2 linked regions of the Alligator mississippiensis genome follow. The protein of the gene in region 2 interacts with the protein of the main gene of each other region in a pairwise test. Links are inferred from orthologs where the notes say so. Each region holds a gene or a part of one and is shown on either strand. Other genes may lie near its edges.

Region 1 (9,531 bases), on a different chromosome or scaffold from region 2:
CAGATGTCTGGAGAGGAGATTCTATGACTAACTCCAGCTGTTCCACAAGAACTCAGCAGCAGGATTAGAGAATCTCCCTACTTTTCCAGTGCACTGCGCACGGGGGGCAGCCCTCCACAGCTGTGCTTGTGGACAGTCTCCAGGATCTGACAGCCATGAATCTGTAGAAGAAACAAAGCAGTCACAGTGGATCAGCAGCGAGTTGCTGTCTTGAGGCAGTGCTGGCAATCCGGACGTCTCAATGACAACCTGCCGTGGAACGGAAGGGAAAGGCCTCGCAAACTCCAGGGGAGTGGATTTCAAACTTTTTTGGCTGAACACCCCTTTACCTGCAGAACATCGCTGCTCATTCCCCTCAACCCCAGTGCGTCTCCACATTCACTCCTCAGGAAGCGTACTGATGCCAGCATCAACACCCAGCAATACCATTGCTCATCACGCACTGGCCAATCAGAAGCTCCACCACCATTATTACAACTTAGCCACGTGCGGCTGGGATATGCCCACCCCAGTTTGAAAACCACTGCTCCACGCAATGCTGCGTGAGCCCCCTTTCCCAGGCACCACTTAGCAGCCAGCACACAAGCTTCTCCCAGTGCTTCACAGAATCTAGCAAATGCCCCCAATTTCCTGGGATGCGAATCCTTTGGGATCAGGCACAAGGAGGAGCAAAGCCAGCCACTAACGTGCAAACGTGGCAACACGTTTCGTCCCTGTATACTGAAAACAGCAGTGTGACCAGGTCAAGGGAAAGAATTGCTGCACATTCCCCTCCTGCCCCAGCTCCAAGCCTGTCTGCCAAAAATCTGTCTCTTCCCCTCAACTTTAAAGATGCAAATCACCCCACTACCTCACTCTTGCTTATGATCAGAATCTCTCTGCTGCCTGCTTCATGTAGCCTCCGAGAGAAAGACAGACCCTGAGAAACCAGTTACTTCCTGATGGGTGCACCCACCAACCGTCTACAAGCCCTGTCTATCATCTGGTGGCACCTCCACCCACAAGCAACTCCAACTAAAGGGAAAGAGGGGGAACGCCACATCCCAGCGTGGATGCCCCAGTCACCCCTCACTGTACCTTCTGAGTCTTGATCTGCTCAACCACCACCATCACCGAGGGGAAAAGCAGCTGGAACTGCAAAGCAAGGATCAACACATAAGAGCAGGCTCCTAAGCAAGAGACAGCAAGGGCACTTGGGGCAAAGCAGCAAAATGTAGTGATTTTCCAGCTGGTCACTTCAGTTGCCCCACAACTGGGTAGCACTATCGCCCTGATCTAGGTGCCCCTAGAACAGGAGACCTCAGTCTCTGCATGGACAGACAACCAGCCTAAGATATGGGAAATGCAACACTACCCCAGCATTGGGCTCAAGCTGCATCATGAAGAAGGAGACACTCTGCACAGTAAGCAAGCTGTGGGGAACACAACATTGTACTGATAGGCTGGAAGTGTGTCAGTGGGATTCTGCAGTTTCTCAAATTGACAAGTTTGAGACTTTGGCTCCAGGATATGAAAAAAATCAAGCAGTTCCCCCCACCACTCCAGTTTCAGAGCTGGACTCTAAATGAGTTTTCAGGAAACAGAGGGGCAGATGGATGGTTGAAGCAAGAGCTCTTTGCGCCCCGGCACACTCCTATACTCCTTAAGGGGGCTATCCAGGCATCCATCCCCAGCTCAGAAGTTCTTCAGCCATGAAATACAGCATAAGACTCCTAGCAGGACTCCATGGAGGAAAGCTCGTGAATGATGACACACTGGATTTAGTGATTTCGGAAATCAAGATGCCTAAAAACAGACACCACGTAGCTTCCTCCACCTTGGTGACATATGTGCTACCAGCTACTGCAACCTTGCAGGAAGGAAACTCTATTTCTTCTTGCAAGCTTAGGTCTAAAGGGTAATGGTGACATTGATGCAACTTTAAAACTCAGGAGATAAGTACAAAAGTCAGGTGGTTGGAAAGATGGGGGTCTAGCAGCAATGCCAAGCTCTGCAGCATTACCCATGTTGTACCTATGAGTATTAAGGTGCATAAACCTGAAGCCTCTAGGTCCTACGCAACATACCTGATCCAGGGAATAGTTAACGTGCGAGATGGAGAGATGAGGATCAGCCAGGAACTGCAACAACAACAGCAGTTAGCACAAACTGAAATAATCCACAGCCTATGAGAAGGTAAGCGAGAGCGAATGGCCTGATCACAGCTCACTCCACAGACTTTTGGGCCATGTCCCACTTCAGGCTGCAACTCACAGTGAGACCACTGACTCAGTGACCCCACCTGAGAGGTTACATGACCACTGCTATCCTGGCCATGACAAGGGGATTAGTCAAAAATCTTCAGAGCTAAAAGCATGGATCACTACAGCTGGAGCGACAGAGCCTTGCCCGGGCACTGAGGGAGCCCTCCCATGGATGAGGAAGTCAGTGACACAGAATACGCTGACCAGTAGTGACTGCACTTGCAGTAGCCATTTGGAAGACATCCCCAAAGTGAAAAGTGAAAGTTCCTGTCCTGTCCCTGGCAGCTGCTTGTCAGGCTACTCGCCATACAAGAGGCAGGTTCCCACTGCGCCAGAGTTCAGGCTGCAGCACTTCCAGCGCCCAGCCACACGCACGGCCACCTCCCTCTTACCTCTTGTTCCAGGTCAAGCAGTGCCTGACGATAGGGCTGCAGCACAGAGTCAAGCCCCGTGCAGAAGGCCCGCAAGTAAATCCCATGGAGCCCGCTTGGGTTCTGCTGGGATGGGTGATGGTCCTGCAATCAAACAGGAAAGTCTGGATTGGCCCCAGGCAGGTCTGGATGGTGCTTTAACACCAGCCCAGTGATCCAAGTTACAAACATACCCATCTCGAACAACCGCAGCAAGTGCCAACAGAACGGACAGGTTACGAGATGGTGCTTGCGCTGGCAAGGATGGAGCAGACCTAGATTCAGTCCCCTCAGAGACACTACTCACCACAGAAGAGGCAGGTGCCCACTGCAAGGCAGTCCGGAGGCAGAAGACCATCTAATAAAGGTGGCCACTAACATGTTGCTGTTATTTGGGGCAGCCACTGAAAGAGGCACATGTATGTAAAGCACTTGCCACAGCCCCACCAGCCTAGCGGGATGGGGAGCACCCTCGAGTCTTGCAAAGCCTGTCCAGTCTGAGCGACTGCAAGTTGTTGTTCTTCCCCAGGTGAATTAGGTTTGCCTGGTAGGGGCTGCAGGGGCTTCACAAGCCTTTGCTCTTCGCGCTCGTGGTAATTCTCTCCCTGCTGCTCTCCTTCCCTCTCCAAATTAGCCTGATTGCCGTGGGTAAGACAGTACTGCGCTAAGGCAGACATCGCTACGGAGAACCAAATGGAAGTGACCGCCCACCCGTCAGTACGCGATGTGACCGACGGGGTCAGCAACGCTGAAATGTCCTAACGAGGGGCCCGAGGCCGTCGCTCAGCGAGAGCGCTCCGCCACAGGCATCTCGTCAGACGACAAGCTTTTGTTTATGTCCAGTGCGTAGCTGACTTGTGGCAGGGGAAGGTATGAGCAGCTTGGAGAGGAAGGACAGGTCCGTTGGGAGCTATTAGACAGAAGTCAGGGCTGCCTCCTCTGACCTCTAAACCAACGAGGGAAGGTGACACGGAGAGGATCGTGCCCCGGCCATGGGCTCTCCCTCTAAAGCACTTACTACCTGCCCCCACCGGAGACTGCTGTATTTGCTACGCTGTAACTGAGCTCTGCCTTGCTGGGAACCACGTCCCCCCTCGGCGGCCAGAGACACCACGAGCTGCGCAGCCCATTTCTTGACAGAAGAAAAAGACAGAACAGAAAGAGAAGTAAATCTGCGGGTTAATAACCAGGCCCCAGAGGAAAGCACCAGGCGGAGAAGAACAGACCGGTGTCCGCTGCTGCCCGGGAGCGCCTGGGGCTGCAGACGCCGTGCAGCGAGACTGCCCGGGGATGTGCCAAGACAAGGGGCCGAACGGCGGCCCTGCCGGCGCCTGGGCCCGGCCAGCCCGCGGCTCTCGGCCGGCCCACGGAGGAGTTTGAGCGGACGACCTGGGATGTCAGAGGGCGACGCGCCGGGCACGCGGGCAGAGCGCAGCCAGGACCCCAGCGAGGGGACGCGGACCCCAAGACAGCCCGGCACGCTCCACTGCCGCGGGGCCCGGGTCTGCCGCACCGGCGCCTGCACCAGCGCGCCCGGCCTGGCCCGGCCCGGCCCGGCCCAGGGCTCTGCGCCGGAGCTGCCGACGCCGCCTGCCTCCCCGCGGGGCGCGGCCCGAGCCAAGTGCAAGCTGCCCGGGGGTCCCTGCTCCCCGCCCGGCGCCGGCAGGGCAGGGCAGGGCAGGGCACGCACAGCCGGCGGGGCGCTGCGGCACGGCCCCGCGGCACTGAGGGGGCAGGGGTCTGGTGCCAGGGCCCGGCCCCGCCGATCCGCCTCGTGCCCCGCGCCCAGGGCGGGCGGGCGGGCGCTGTGGCGGTAAACCCGCCTGGCCGCGCGGCCCCACCTGCTGCTGCTGCTGCTGCTGCTGCTGCTGCTGCACGTGGCCCGTGTACTGCGCCACGAAGTCGGTGAAGCGGAGGTAGTCGGTGCCCAGGCGGCAGAGGCGGCTCAGCACGCCGGTCTCGCTCGGGTGCAGGAAGGGCAGCTCCTGGCTCACCTGCGGGCGGGCGGGCGGGCGGTCAGGGGCGGGGCGGGGCGGGAGCGCGGCGCGGGCGGACGGGGCGGGGGGGGGGCGGGGCGGTGGTACCTGCAGGCCGCCCCGCTTGCTCCACGTGAAGGCGGCGCCCGGGAACCCGCTCAGCGCCAGCAGCAGCTCGTGGATCATCCTGCCCGGGGCCGCGCGGCATGCCGGGAAACACCGCCCGCCGCCAAACAGGCCGCCCGCCGCCGCGGAGCATGCCGGGAACTGGAGTCCCGCAGACCGCAGAGGCCGCTGGGAGCCGCGGAGCATGCTGGGAAGTGGAGTCCCGCAGGCCGCCGGGAGCCGCAGAGCATGCCGGGAGGCGTGGCGCGCGGGGCGTGGGCGGGCGCGCGAGGCGCGGGCAGCCGTGGGCGCGGCTCGCCCAGGAGTCTCCTCGGCCAGCTCCCTCGGGACTCCCGGGCGCGAGGCGGCGAGGAGAGCTGGGCGCGCTGCGCCTGGTGCGAAGCCGGGAGGCCCGGGCCCCGCGTGCGCTCGCTCCGCGCGGAGCCGCGCCGCTGGCAGCGCAGGGAGGCGGCCCGGGCGCTCGTGGAGCTGGGCCGGCTCCTGCCCGAGCGCTCGCCCTCCGGCCCTTCCTGGCCGCCGTCCCCCGAGCCCCCGCCCCGCCGCGGCCCACGCCCTCGTCCTAGTCCTCGTCCTTCGAGCTGGGCTTCGCGCCTGGCTGGCCCGCGGGCCGGCAGTCTGCTGTGCGGGAGCCGCCGGCCCCGGGCGGTCGGGAGCAATGTAACGGCACAGCCTGCTTTCCAGGCCCGCCCGCCCGCCCGGGGCTGAGGGTGCACACAGCCCGCCCCCAGAGGCAGAGGCGCGTGGCGCTAGCTGGGTGGCGGGGCCCGGCTGAGGGCCGGGGCGTCGGGGTAGCTCCCCGTGTGCGGCGCGGGGTCGGAGGCAGGAGGTGTTGGGTGAGCGTCTGCGGTCTGTCCCCGCCTCGTGTCCCCAGCGTCACGGTGCAGACCTGCGCCTTCCCTTTCCTTTGCTTCCCGCTCGGTCTCCTCCCTGTGCGCACACGCGACTCCCACAGCAAAGCGGCGCCCACGGCGCTGTAGTCTTGCCACCCCCCGGTTTCAGGGTGTCGCAGCAAACGTGGGAAGCGGTCCAGCCTTCCCGCAGCTCCGACGGCAGGCGCTCAGCGACGGGACGCAGGGCTCGTTCCAGCAGCCGCCACCTGGCAGCACTGACCGCTTCGGCCTTGCCCTGCAGTCTGAGGGCAGACAGCTGGGGAGAAGGGGTTGTCCAGCCGATATCGCTGCTCAGCCGCACGTGTGAGTCTCATAGTTACTAGGGTCGGAAGGGACTTGAACAGATCATCAGGTCCGACCCCTGCCCTGGGCAGGAACGAGCGCTGGGATCGTATCGCCCCAGCCAGAGCTCTAGCCAACCTCCTCTTGAAGACCCCCGAGACAGGGGCGGGCACCACCTCCCTCGGGAGCCCATTGCAGAGCCCGGCAGCCCCGACCGTAAAGTAACGCTCCTGATATCTAACCTGAACCTGCTCTCCGTCCATTTGTGGCCACTATTCCTTGTTATCACAGGTAGTGCTTGGGGATACGGAGCCCTACCTGTTTTCTGCTCGTCCCCCCGGTGAGTTTGTAAACGGCCACCAGATCCCTCAGCCTTCTCTTGTGGAGTAGCTTCAGGCCCTTTAGTCTCTCCGCGTAGGGCCTGCCCTGCTGCCCCTGACCATGCGGGCAGCCCTCCTCTGGACCCTCTCCGTGCTGTCCACATCCCTCCTGAAGTGCGGCGCCCAGACCTGGACACAGTACTCCACCTGCAGCCTGACCAGTGTCGCATCGAGGGGAGGATCATCTCCTTGGCCCTGCTCGAGATGATGCATCTGTGGATGCACGACAAGGTGTGGTCGGCCTTCCTGACCACTGCCTCACATTCGCGGCTCACGTTCATCCTGGAGCCAACAATGACTCCAAGATCCCTTTCAGCCACTGTGTTGTTGAGAGGGGAGTTCCCAGCCCGTAGGTGTGTTGCAGGCTCCTTCTCCCTAGATGCAGCACCGTGCACTTGTCTGCGTTGAACTCCATCCTATTCTCATCCGCCCACATCTGTAACCTGTCTAGATCTAGCTGGATCCTGTCCCTCCCCTCCCCTCCCCTCCAGTGTGCCCATGAATGAGGGGTGCCGCCCATGGGCAAGATGTTGCAGGCACCGGGCAGAGCTTCGCAATGTGCAGGCACTTCCAGAGGGTGTGTGGTATTGCAACCCACACTGTGGGTAAGAGGGAGAAAGTGTCCCTGACTGCCCAGTGGCAGCTGTGCTGCTTCATCCTGAACCTGCCTGGGCATGGCCCAGCATTTTGGCCTCTGGTGCCCTCATCCTCACCCCTCCCAGAGGGGTAGCTGTGGTGCCTGCTTCTACCCCCACCCTGCCCTGGGGACGTGGTCACTTGTGGGGCCTGGGCCATGGCGCCGTCTATGGCTGGCAGAGACTTGCCATAGGTGCAAGTGGGACCAGTGGGTGGGAACGGGCAACTGGTGAGCCCTGACCTGCCTATCCCTGCTCCCTTGGCTGTGTCCTGGCCTGCACTCGCCAGCTCCTCCCTGGAGGCAGGAGGCTTCTGCACACCCTGGGCCCCAGCCCACAGCCCCGCAGCAGTAGCACCACCCAGCAGTGAGCAGCAGCCAGGCCGGGCTGTCCCTGGTGCTCGTGCTGGTGCTGGTGCTGGCTCCGCTCTGGTCAGGTCCGACCTGGTTCCGTTGACTCCGTGCACGGCCTCTTTTTCCCTGCCCTGCCCTGCCCCACCCCACCCCTGCCAGGGCGGAAGGAGGTGGCACCAGGAGCAGCTTGGTCTTTGATCCATGCTCCTGGGTTGCTGCTGCATGTGCCACCACTGGATCAATCATGCTGCTGTCACCTGTGCTTTCTGGCCCTGGGAGCATCAGGCCTTGGGACAGCTGCAGCTCTGAGATAGGTCTCCCACACCTGGGCAGAAAGTTGGCTCCCCTACGGCCGGCTTGCCATTGTCTTCGGTGGCTGGACTGGGACAGGGGAAAGCAGGTGCAGCTCCAGGGGGCTGGAGACAAAGTGCCTTGTTTTCCTAATAGGTGCCCATCAGTTTTGGGGTCTTGGTGTCCATTTTCTAAGGAATCACAGGGGCTCGGGTACAGAGAACAATTCTGACCAAAATGAGCTGCCGCAGTCACTACTCAGCCATGGCCTGTGAGTCACCTGCTGTGTACAGAGATAACAACATAGTTCATTTCTGTGGGCTGCCGTCAGAGAGGACCTCGGTTACCTGCCCCTGTGCGGAGTCACTAGTATAGTTCACCTCTCTAGGGCAGGATCCCACGTGCCACTGGAGTCAGCCTGTTGCTGTTTATAATCGCTCACAGCGTCAACATCAGGGAGCATGGTAAGAGCTGCATGAGAGAGACCGCGATTCTGGTTAGTAGGAAACCTGAGAAATGGGGTAACTTGTCAGAGTGATTCCTGGCTGGGCAATGGACTTGAGGTAATGGTCCTGCAAACGTATCCTGAATTCCTGGGGTTTGGGGGAATTTGTCTTGAATTCTTCCTAAGAAAGAGCAACATTGATTCCTTCTTCTCCTGGGGCATTAGCATTCAGCCAAGCCTATGATGGTTAAAATTCATCCCCGTGCAAGGGTCAATGCCAAAGCACCGCTTTCTTTCTATTTTGTCATCTTTTCATAATACTGAAGGGTGATGAGCCTCTGTGCTGGTTTTCAGTTCAGGGGTGAATTTTATTCTTTCTGAATATAGCTGCTGTTGGAAGACTTACTCATTGCTGTCTTTGCTTGGATTTCTAGCAAGGGGAGAGAGGAAAGAGGAAGCGCTGCATTCAGAAAAGATCTCATTTCAGAACTGAAATACTGTCCTTACCCTTTACTGGTTGATGTAATTTGTTAGCTGAAGCTGTAGTTGCTGTATCAAATGAATTTAGTAATCACTATGTATTCAGCACAGCACAGCGCACAAAAAATTGGCTCCCTGCTCTGAAGGGTTTCACATCTAAAGACACAGGCACTGTGGAAAATCCGGAGGTGGAAGTGTAACTTGGACAAGCAAACCTACTTCTTGTGGATACTAGGGAAGAAGCTGGTTTTATTAACAGGTTAGTGGGACCCCACCTCACTTCTTTTCTTCTTTTCAGATCCTGTACTGCTTTTCTTGGGAGGTGCCTGATTTTACATGGAAACCTAAGTCAACCAGAAAAAGAATATTTAGATCTAACCAGCTATCCAAGATACGGTTTCTCTTCTCATTCAGTTTGGGTTGTTTTCCTTCCTGTAGCTCAGATTTTCTCTTACTTATCTATTTAAACAAGCACCAACTATTTAGATGTACAAATTCATTGCTGTTTGGCATGTCATGGGGGTCTTCTTCCCTGAGTTGCATCCAGGACCCAAGGCATGTCCAGTATTTTGCTAAGTTCTTAACATCAAGACCTGTCATGCTCGGTGATAGCTCACCGAGTTGCAAATGTTAATTTAATTAACTGAAATGCAGAGGCTTCTCGGGCAGAAAGGGTTTCTCCAGGTGAGCACGTATGTGTGGTTTGTGGCGCCGCAAACTGCACACGTGCCCATATTTGCCGCGCTGTGAAATTGTAGTGTGGTGGGTTTTCTTTGTCACTGGGAAATCCCAGTGTCAAGAAAAACTACCCCAAAGAAAGTATGGTGCAGTGCATGTGGCAGGAGCTTGTGCCACCAGACCAGGACCCTGGCCAACCACAGAGCCATGATCTGGCTGCTGGCCAGGCTCCCTGCTGCCTGATCACAGCCGCTGCTGCCCCGGGAGGACCCAGGTAAGGCTGCTGGGGCCAGCACAGGTGCCGGCCTCAGCCTCCTCTGCCCCACCCGGAGCATTTTTCCC
Region 2 (10,382 bases):
CAAGCATCTTCCTGTCCTCAACCACATATACACACTATCTGTCCCCCACCTCCACAAAGCCTCATGATACACACCCCAGCCCCCTCCTCCATCAGTGCACTTGTTCCCATCCCAGGTGCAGCATTAGACACCAGCAGGCACATCTCCCTTACAGCATGCTAGCATTGTTCTGGGAAAGGCAAAAGTTGGCCCAGGGACCCAGAAGTGCCAAGTTTCATGGAAGCTATTCCCAATACTGCCTAGTCCCACACTACAGAGCAGCTACACAGCACCTCTCAGGTCAGGCCCAGGGGCAGAATCAGGTGCCAGGGCATGGTGGGTTGGGAAGGGCAGTGGGGTGATCCCTGCAGTGTGCCTAGAGTGAAAAGCAGGTTTCCTGAAAGATGTAGGCTCTTGCAGGGCCATGGGGGGACTCACATGCTGCTTCTCCTGGCAGCTGCCTGGCCTCCAGGATCTAGTACAAGCCAAAGATGGTCTGCAGAGAGCATCATTCCAGACTGCCAGCCATGAGGGCACAGAGGAGTATGCTGGCTAGAGCCCAAGAAGGTAATGACAAGGAAAGCCAAGGAGAGGGTGGTGGCAGGGAGAAGCATGTGGGGGCAGGAGCCCGAAGTGCTGAGAAGGTCGATTGCTAGTGGATGCATGAGACTATCTGCTTCAAGGGTTTGGCTGTAGAGCCCAGTGTGTCCTGACTGTCAAGGTTCCTGAAGTCAAGGAGGGTGTCATGGTCAGCTGGAAGCAGCAGAACTCACCCAGGGAGAGGGCAGATGTCAGCAGAAGTCTGCACTGACATGGAGCTGGCTGGCTTGGGTTGCACATGCTGACAGGCTGTGGTGGGTACCAGCAGGAAGCACCTTTGTCTGTGTTGATTGCCTAGGCATCTAGGCTGGCTGCGGCTTGCAGGCCATGGGGTAGGGAGGTCAGGAGGCCGAGCATACAGGGGTTGTGCTTGCTGTGTGCATGCTGTGGGTGTGGAGTGTGCAGTGGGCTGTTTTGGGAGGTGTTCTGTGGGGTGGAGCACACAGGGGTTGTGTTTGTTGTATGCATGGTGTGGGCATAGAGTAATCAGGCATAGTGGTTATTGTGTGTGGGCCCAGTGGGGCACAGTGCATTGGCTTGTGTTTGTTGTGCATACGTGCATGTGTCCATGTGTCTGTGTGCACATGCACTGTGGGGTGCAGTGTGTTGGGTGGTCTGTTGTGTGCGTGCACTGTAGGATGCAGCATGTTGCATCTGTGTTTGGCTGGGACATGGGTAGAGCTGCTGCTAACAGCCTTCAGTCAACTACAATAATCCTGAGTCCTTGCTGTAATGGAAACATGAACTAATTACAGCCCCTGGCATACGTTGCATTTAAGATGTGGTTGACCAGTTCATCATGTCTTAAGTTGTCACTCAGCCACACATTAATGCAATTAATGGTGTCATAAAACAAGGAATAAGCCACAAAACTATTATAAAAAAATGTTGAATAACTTTGTGGCTGGTTCCTATCATGTCATCAATTGAATGTGTGGCCTGGCTGAGCCTGGCTGGGTGCCTTGTTGGCTGATGGTGCTGCCAGCAGCATGGGAGCTCTATCAGCTGATCCAGGCTCCCAGCTGGGGGATGCACCCTGCAGTTGGGAGCCTGGATCAGCTGACTGGGCTCCTAGACATGATGCACCCCAGTGGTTGGGTGCCACATCAGCTGACGGCTCTCAGCCCTGGGAGTGCATTGTGTCCCCCAGTGGCTGGGAGTCCCTTCAATTGAGGGGTCTCCCAGACATGGGAGCTTGCTACTTGCCAGTGCAGGGGGAGCCCAGGATCATTCCTGTGCTGACAATAAGGTGCTCTGGGATCTGATGCAGAATCCCACAATCACACCTCCTGTCATGCGCATAGAAGCACAATTGTGGGGATCCTGCATCAGACCCCATTGCACCTTTACTTGCACGTCTTTCGCGGGCCTACGTTTCACAAGGCCTGTGGGTGAGCAAAGAGCCCTCCCTCAGACACAGTAGAGTTAACATCTTGCTCAAATGGGTGGAACGCAGGAGTCCTGACTCCCAAATCCTTGTACCCATGCTAATCTGGCATCCCAGTCTCAAAGCAGGGGACAGACTGGGAACCTGGTGCTAGAGCATACCTCTCCCAGCCTGGACTGGGACATGCCACTTTGGGTGTCTAGCTGTCTGCCCAAACTGTTAGAGTACACTTCCTCCAAAAACCACAGTGTGCTGGTGTATAGCCAGCACAACTGCGCAGCCAGCACAGGGACAAGCCCTTCTCTAATGAGGCTGGCAGCCCTTCCCCCTCCTCCTCCTGTCCTGCCCCCAGAGCTTCAGCAGAGCAGAGCTTTTGTTACATGTGCAGTGTGCAAGCAATTTGGCTCACAGACTGAAGTCTTTTCTCCTGAGCCTTGCTCCAGCATGCTGTTTGTCACAGAGGGCTGCAGTGAGGGAGGCAGGGAGAGCAGGTCCCTCCGCTACATGCATTTACTGCTGCCCTGTGCTGGTTAAACCACTTGGGTACATGTGCTTTCATGCCTGCCCATCAGGGCATACAGCAGCTCTGGGGGATCAGGCAAGAGTCGGCATGGGTACACTGGGCAGCTGGGTACCCAGCTCTCAGGCCAGGGTTTGAAAATGCAGGAGTACAAGCCCACACTTCCCTGCATAGTTGCTTTTTTTCCCAGTACAATATGGGAGACTAGTGTGAGGTCTCCTGAAAATCTGGCCATGGATAACACTTGGTTCCCCTTGCGCTCACAGCTCCCTCCCCCAGCTCCCCTTACAGGCAGTGAACATTAGGCAGAGAAGGGGAGAGCGACCTGACTGAGGTCACCCATCAGGCCAGCAGCAGTGTTGGGAACCCAGGAGTTCTGCCATCTATACCAGCAGATGAGTCCCTGGGTCCTACCACTGTCTATCCATCTATCTTTTCATCCTCCCCTCCCTCCACCCTCACAGAATCATATCAAAGAATCACGGAAAAGCAAGGCTGGCAGGGACCTCCGGAGATCACCCACTCCAACCCCCTGCTTGAGGCAGGAACATCCCTATATCCAAACCATCGCAGCCAGGTATTTGTCTAACATATTCCTAAGACCCCACAAACAACCTGCCACATAACTACAAGGCATGTAGTCCAAGGATGCCAGGAACAACTTAACCTGCCGCAGGTAAAGCAGGGGGGTGAGGGCACTGCCCTACTTCCCATCAGTTTAAAGCATAAGGAAAACTTGTAAAGTGTACTGAATCTCCAGCTACTCAGCCAGGGCAAGTGACTACTTCCTCTCTCCTGGTGTGACTTGTCTGACTCCATAGCTTCAGCTCTGTGCCATTGTTTCACTGCACTGACAACACTAGGGACATCAGCTGCTCCCCTGCTCTGTGACAGTGCCTTACTTTTGCCGGAGGATGCTGACGTCCTCCAGCAGGTTGTCCCTCTCGATCTCCAGCCTGGCCTTGGAGTTAGACAGCTGGTCCACTTGCCGCCGCAGCTCCCGTAGCTCCTCCTGGTAGATGTCGGCCAGCTTGGTGGGCTCCTTGTCTCTGATCTGGTTGAGTTCCACCACCAGGACCTTGTTCTGCTGCTCTAGGAAACGGACCTTCTCAATGTAGCTGGCAAAGCGGTCATTCAACTCCATCATCTCCACCTTCTCATTGGTGCGTGTCTCCTTGAACTCAGCATTGAGGGCGTCAGCCAGGGAAAAGTCCACCTTGTCCTGGCTGAAGCGGGGGCTGGTGTGGAAGCTCAGGCTGGAGGTCTTCATTTTGGTCACGGAGACCCGGGAGGTAGGGCTGGAGGACAGTGGCCTGCGGCCAGGAGAGTACCTCAGGGACTGGTGGATGGTGGCTTGGGAGCCAAATCGCCTCCCATAAGAAGACATCCTCTGGCCCTCCATGCTCACACTCATGCTCCTGCTCCTTTAGGCCAGGCCTAGTCCTGCGGGCAGTGGCAAAGCTCCGACAGGACGCTGGCTGCTCTGCAATGGGTTTTATGCAGAGGACTGGCCCTCCCCAGACAGGGTGTGTGTGAGAGAAGCTAAAGGAGGGGGGAGCCTGAAGGGGGTGGGTATTGTGTGCCTGGTCCTAGAAGCTGCCATGTACCGTGCCAACTGCCCAGTCCTTGGCAGAGGAACAAAGACCGACAAATGAAGCAGAAACCCTCAGTCATTGTGCTGGGCAAAGGAGAGTGAATACCAGCTGACGTGCTACGTGGGGGACGCGTGGGCCACAGCTTCCAGGGCCCCTTGTCCCCCTGGTGGGTGGGCATCAGCATCCCGCAAACTCGTGTCATGGCTGTGTGCTCCTGGGAGGTGGCTGTAGCAAAGGACACCCTGTTCAGTACATGCCCTTTTTCCCAGAGTCCTGGAGACTAGAACGAGCCAACATGTTCTGGAGTCTCAGAGACATGGTGGGGAGGGGCAAGCTTGTCAGAGTAAGTCTCCAGTTTGTTAGAGGGATGGAGCAGGGACTTCCCAGGGGAAGAAGAGTTCTGTTCAACCAAGCAGTGCATGAGGGGGTGCGTGCAAGGGGTGAATAGGTGTGTACACACGCATGTATGTGTGTGAATGTATGTGTGTGTAGGCACACACACAGACACAAGGGGTCTTGCTTTGAGCTTACGTCACTTCTTATTTATGCACAAGGGAAAGAAATCTTCTGCACTGTACCCCTGGAAACATGGTCTCATAATATATTTAAAATACCACAGGCACCATTAACATATGCATTAAAGCATGCTGTTAGTACACTGAAAACGCAGCTGACCATTCTTCCTAACTTAGATGTGCTTTTGTACATACAAATTACAGCACTGGCATGTCTACAATTAGGCCCCGAGTGGGGAGAAGATAAGTTTGTATTGTTTTGCCCATTTTTTAGATCTTTGTATTACTTAAAAATATCATCTGGCATTCCAGACACCTGGGTTCTCTTTCCTGCTCTGCCACTGCTCTGCTGGGTGACCGTGGTCAAGTCACTGCCTACCTCTGTGCCTCATTTTTCCTCCTCCCCTTTATCTGACTTGTATATAGGATCATAAGAAAGTAGGGCTGAAAAGGACTTCATGAGGTCATCTAGTCCAGTCGCCTTCTCAAGCCAGGATCATTGTGACTAAAACAGCCCAACCAAGTAACCTGCTCTTGAAAACTTCCAGGGATGGAGAGTCCACAACTTCTCTAGGTAGCCTTTTCCAATGCTTGATCACCCTCAGAGTCAGAACATTTTTCCTAATCTCAAACCTAAATTTTCTTTGCTGCAGTTTGAGGAATACGTACATGTTGATTGCAACCCACCATGTGGGGGACCATCTCATACGATGCATACTTACAGAGCACGGTGTAGTGGGCCTGCTTGGTGCTCACTGTGATAATGCGTGATAATTTTAATAACAACCAACTATGCTTATCTGACACTAGTCCTGTAGGGCTTCTCTGTGCCCCCCATGAGCACTTCACTTCATACTTTTACACATTATAAACTCAGGCATGAGGCTCTGCTTAAAAACATAATAGTCACAAAACACTCTTCCAGCATACTTTCACACCTGTCCTCGGCCCTCCATTATGAATACTTTGGAAAGACAAACCTTTGGGGTCTAAAAATACACGTGCAGTTCTGCCAGGCATTCTCTTGTGGTTTGGGGGCAGCCAGTGCTCTGGGCTGCACATCCACACTACAGACTGTATTTAGCAAAACACACATGCACACATCAGGCTTCAAACATACATGTTAGAGCCCTTGTTCTCTGCTCCCCACACAAGAGCATTTGATGGCCAGCTGTATTCCTGCACATCCCAGCTTGTTACCGTCAAAATTATCTAGATGACAAGACTTTGATTTCTCTTGGATGGAGACTCCTTTTTTAAGAGGCCAGTTTAGGCAGACAGCTGAGAAGCTAATTAAGAAAGACTTAAATTGAGTATTTGTTTGAAACCCCTGAACTTGGTTTCCACTCCAGTGGTTCTGTAGAAGCAGTGGAAACTTCCAAGTCATTTTCTATTGTTATTGTGGGAGTTTTTACAGCCTGAAGTTTCTAATGTCACTGTGTCCAGCCCTGGGCTGGAATTCAGGACTCCTGGGTTCTGGCAAGATGATGGGATATAGTAATTAGAGCAGGATGCTTGAGAGTAAGACTCCTGACCCTGTGTAGCCTAGCTATTAAAAAGAGTAACTCAGGACTCCTGGGTCCTATTCCCAAGTCTAGAAGAGTGTTACCTAAGGAGCTAGAGCAAAGGTCTGGGAGTGCAGACTTCTGGGTTGGGGGAAATAATACCATATTGTATATTGTAGCAAGATCAGTTTCCTGTGAGGGGCCCAGGACTCCTTGGTATCTATTCCCACATGGTCATACTGATTCTGAGCTTGCCACTCACTTCTCAGATGGGGCTTCTTCCCCCTCATTTCTTGATATCACAGCTTGGAAGGCCTCTGGTCATTAAGAATGAATCCATGATGGGGCACACAGAGCATCTGCTGTTTGCAGGACTGGGTGCTCCCCACATCTCCAGCTCTCCAAGCTCCTAAGGGATATGCTGTTTGAGCCATCCACTGCTTGACATCAGCATGACTGCCTCCCAAGGCAGAGGGCAGAGTCCAGGAGCCAAGACCAGGGTCCTAAGCTGAAGAGTCAAGGCTAGGAGCCAAAGCCCCCCAGGGCAGGAGTCCAAAGCCAAGGAGTCAAAGAGCTGGAATTAGGACTGAGGACCTGAGGAGCCCAGGAGGCAAGGCAGGAACCAGGCCTGAGCCAGGCCTTCCAACCAGGCAAGAAGCCAAGCCAAGCCCAGCTAAGTCCCCTGAAGGCCAAACAGCTTGAACCCATCTGTTCTGGGTTTGTATAGCCCTGAGTGGATAGGGCTCCCTTGGTATAGCCCAAGGGATGACTGGGTCCAGGCTCGTTACAGCCATGGCCAAGGAGCACCCAGAAATGGCACCTCCAGCTCAGGGCTCAACAAAGACATGAAGCAAGGGTGTCTGGCCATAAGTAATCACTGGTAAGGCCCAGGTGATGGGGAGCTCCTTGAAGCCCTGACACTCCAGAGAGGGGTTGAAAGTGGGGGCTTTCCTTCACTGCAGGATTGACTGAGTTACAACCTGAACCCCATCCACACACAAAGTCCCTAACTCAGACCCAGTGGCACTTTAGCATAGGATAGCTGCCCCATAGTGGGAACCAGCTCATGCTTGAGGGAGCATAATGCCTCAGCTGCCAGCACAACCACTGTGCTGTGTGGGTGCAGGCTAGTGCCACTCAGGTGCTGCTAGTCCTCCTGTGCCTTCCCACAGTTCCCTCTTTGACCCAGGAAGGAGCAACAAACTCTCCTCATTCACTGGGAAAGAACTCATGGACCGAAGAGTGCTATGAGCAGCAAGATGTACCCCCACAGCTGTTGGTGCCACATATAAGCGTGTCCAACGCCAGTGCAGATGTGGCAGCTCCAGAGGCATTATGCAGTGGGACTGTCCTCCCTTCAGCCAGTGTAGCTGAAGTACAGGTGGCTTGTCCTGCAGCAGGGGAGAGAGATCCGCTGAAGCCTGACTGACCCAACATGAGACTCATTCCATGGCTCCTACCTGCTTCGTGTAGTCCCAGTGGGAAATCTGGAATTAATTCTCTGGGGGATGGAGAGGGGTCCTTGCTTGGATCAGTTTCATAGTTTCATAGTAGTTAGGGTCAGGAGGGACCTGACCAGATCATCTAGACTGACCCCCTGCCACAGGCAGGAATGAATGCTGGGTTCACAAGACCCCAGACAAGTGATCATCCAACCTCCTCTTGAATATGCCCAAGGTAGGGGCAAGGACCATTTCCCTGGGAAGATGGTTCCAGATTTTGGCCACCCTAACTGTAAAATATTGCCTTCTGATCTCTAACATAAACCTATTCTCCCTCAGCTTATTACCATTGTTCCTTGTCACCCCCGGTGGTGCTGGGGAGAAAAGGGCTCTACCTATTTGCTGATGATCTCCCCTGATGAGTTTGTAGGCAGCCACCAGGTCCCCCCTCAGCTTCCTCTTGCTGAGGCTGAACAGGTTCAGGTCCTTCAGTCTCTCCTCGCAGGGCCTGTCCTGCTGCCCTCTCACCAAGTGGGTAGCCCTCCTCTGAACCCTCACCAGGCTGGCCACATCCCTTTTGAAGTACGGTGCCCAGTACTGGACGCAGTACTCCAACTGCGGCCTGACCAAAGTCACATAGAAGGGGAGCATCACCTCTCTGGACTGGCTTGAGATGCACCTTTGGATGCATGACAAGGTATGGCTGGCCTTGCTGGCTGCAGTCTGGCATTGGCAGCTCATGTTCATCTTGGAGTCGGTAATGACTCCAAGATCCCTTTCTGCCTCTGTGCTTTCAAGAAGGGAACTCCCCAGCCTGTATGTATGCTGTGGATTCCTTCTCCCAAGGTGCAGCACCCTGCATTTGTCTACGTTGAACCCCATCCTATTCTCATCTGACCACTTATCAGCCTCCAGCCTGGGGTGTATTGGGGTGGAGAGAGCATCTCCAGGATCAGGTGAGGCTGTTCCAGATGGGCCCAGCATCCTTGTTGTTATTAATCATGTTTACAGGGGCAGTGGCAGGAGGCCCCAGCTAACACCAGAGCCTCATAGTGCTGGATACTGTCCTGATGAAGAAGTAGGTATGGTCCCCACCCTGGGGGAAAAGAGGGAGAGGGGGTATTCACAGTGAAGGGGTGATGAAGAGTGTGGCCTATGGACTAGTGCAGAGGGCAGGGCTCACAGGCTGCTGCAGTCTGGATGAGGCTGGTCCCGGCAGTGCTCCCACTGCCCATCCCCAAGGCAGCACTGCATTCCCAGGCTCCCGGCAACCTTGGGGCCTTGCTATGGAGAGGATCACACAGGCTCAGCTATGCCCTGCCACAGTACAGCCCTGCTGATCTGTCCCATGTTCCTGGAGCCAGAAGCCGACAGCTCCACAAAGGCCTTATGAATGGGGTCAAGGCCACGGCATGAACCCCCCCATGGGGCTGGCACAGAAGATACCCTGTGCTATGATTTCTGTCCCAAGGTGCTGTCCAGGCAATGATCATTGCAGGAGGATTGATTCCTGCTGGCTACCCCTGTTGGGGGCCCGGTCCCACCACAGGAACTCACCGTCCCCAGCAGCTGGGGGACTGAGGTTCTGCCTGTGGGAAGAAAATTACCGAGGATGCCCCTTGTTAAATCTGCTGTACTGGGAGACAGGCTGAGGGGCTGTGAGAACCACAGCAAATGGCTCAGCTCCAGGGCACATGGGTCTCCCCCTGCTTCTCCTGCCCCCTCCCAGCCCAAACCTTGGGCCACAAGTGGAGGCCACAATCCAGAAAAAAAGGGGTCAGGAACTCAGTCTGTGCCCTGCCAGGAGGAGATATGTCTGCCACCACCAAGTAAAGACCCAGTTCCCCTTATCCCCACACCTGGTGTGCTATCTCTGCCCTCCCCACCTCCCCCTGCCTCCACCAGGAGAAGGAAGTGCACTGTTCTAGCTGTACTTCATCCGTGGAGCTGCAGTGCCTGAAGGCCTTATAGCTCAGCACTGACTTTGGTGCAACAGCTGTAGCAGCAGACGCCACTCCCTAGTCTGCCCATGATGAGCTGAGCAGAGCCCAGCAGGAGGGCTTCTCCCACCCAGGAATGCCATGCCATTGGGGTAGGATAGTGAAAGATGTGCTCTGCTCCCAGCAGCTGCTAATCCTTCTGTGTACTGAGCCTCATGAGGTGCCAAGGTCCCACTGCCTTCCTTGGGTGACAGCCCCTGACCCCCCAGGTTGAATAGCTGGGAGCCTGCCCATGTAGTATTACAAGCAGAGCCGGGGACTGCGCCTCCATTATGGCTTACTCTCCCTTTCCACTAGCTGGACCACAGATGAGTTTATGATGCTGCTGGGGCCAGGCTGTGTGGTCTGGCTTCATGATTTGAAGATTAGAGACTCAGGATTTAACACCCAGGGGCCCCTAGGCTCCTGCTTGAATTGGCTGCATGTTCTGTAACTACTATACTAAAATCTGCTCCCACAGCTAGGGGTAGAAGTGAGCAGGTCTCCTGGGCTAGGGACAGAAGTTACACATAAACTGGTTTAAGTGATCAGAAACTGGTTTAAACCTGTAACAGAACAGAAGCTCAGTGCACATAAACCAGTTTCAAACTGGCTGAAACTGGTTTAAGATAAACCTGGTTGAATGTAATAGACTTAACTGATTTGTGTCAAACTGGTTTATGAAACTTCTGTCCGAGACCCCTTCCTGGTTCAAGTTAAATCACAGTCCCCCAGCATCCCAGAATGCTTTCCAGCTCTGGACTGGGATGGGCTGGGCTGTCTGCACCAGCCCCACCCCTCTGCTCCCTAGCTGGAGCAGTGAGGGCTGACTGACAAAGGAGTGTCTGGGGACAAGCCTG

Evidence for each region. The genes of interacting proteins can lie anywhere in the genome.
Region 1: the proteins of GFAP (region 2) and TUBGCP4 interact in a two-hybrid assay, tested with the Homo sapiens proteins (2 studies listed by BioGRID and IntAct). The two-hybrid records come from large-scale screens. The link is inferred for Alligator mississippiensis from reciprocal best matches to the Homo sapiens genes GFAP and TUBGCP4.

Annotation. Positions count from the first base shown.
Region 1 is NC_081834.1:440,480-450,010, reverse strand, and holds the start of TUBGCP4 (gamma-tubulin complex component 4), read right to left. Parts: upstream 4,870-9,531; 5' UTR 4,816-4,869; coding exon 4,738-4,815; intron 4,648-4,737; coding exon 4,495-4,647; intron 2,763-4,494; coding exon of another isoform or gene 2,759-2,762; coding exon 2,636-2,758; intron 2,121-2,635; coding exon 2,067-2,120; intron 1,135-2,066; coding exon 1,078-1,134; intron 162-1,077; coding exon 82-161; intron 1-81. UniProt on the Homo sapiens protein: Component of the gamma-tubulin ring complex (gTuRC) which mediates microtubule nucleation.
Region 2 is NC_081827.1:161,783,251-161,793,632, reverse strand, and holds the start of GFAP (glial fibrillary acidic protein), read right to left. Parts: upstream 3,970-10,382; 5' UTR 3,901-3,969; coding exon 3,389-3,900; intron 1-3,388.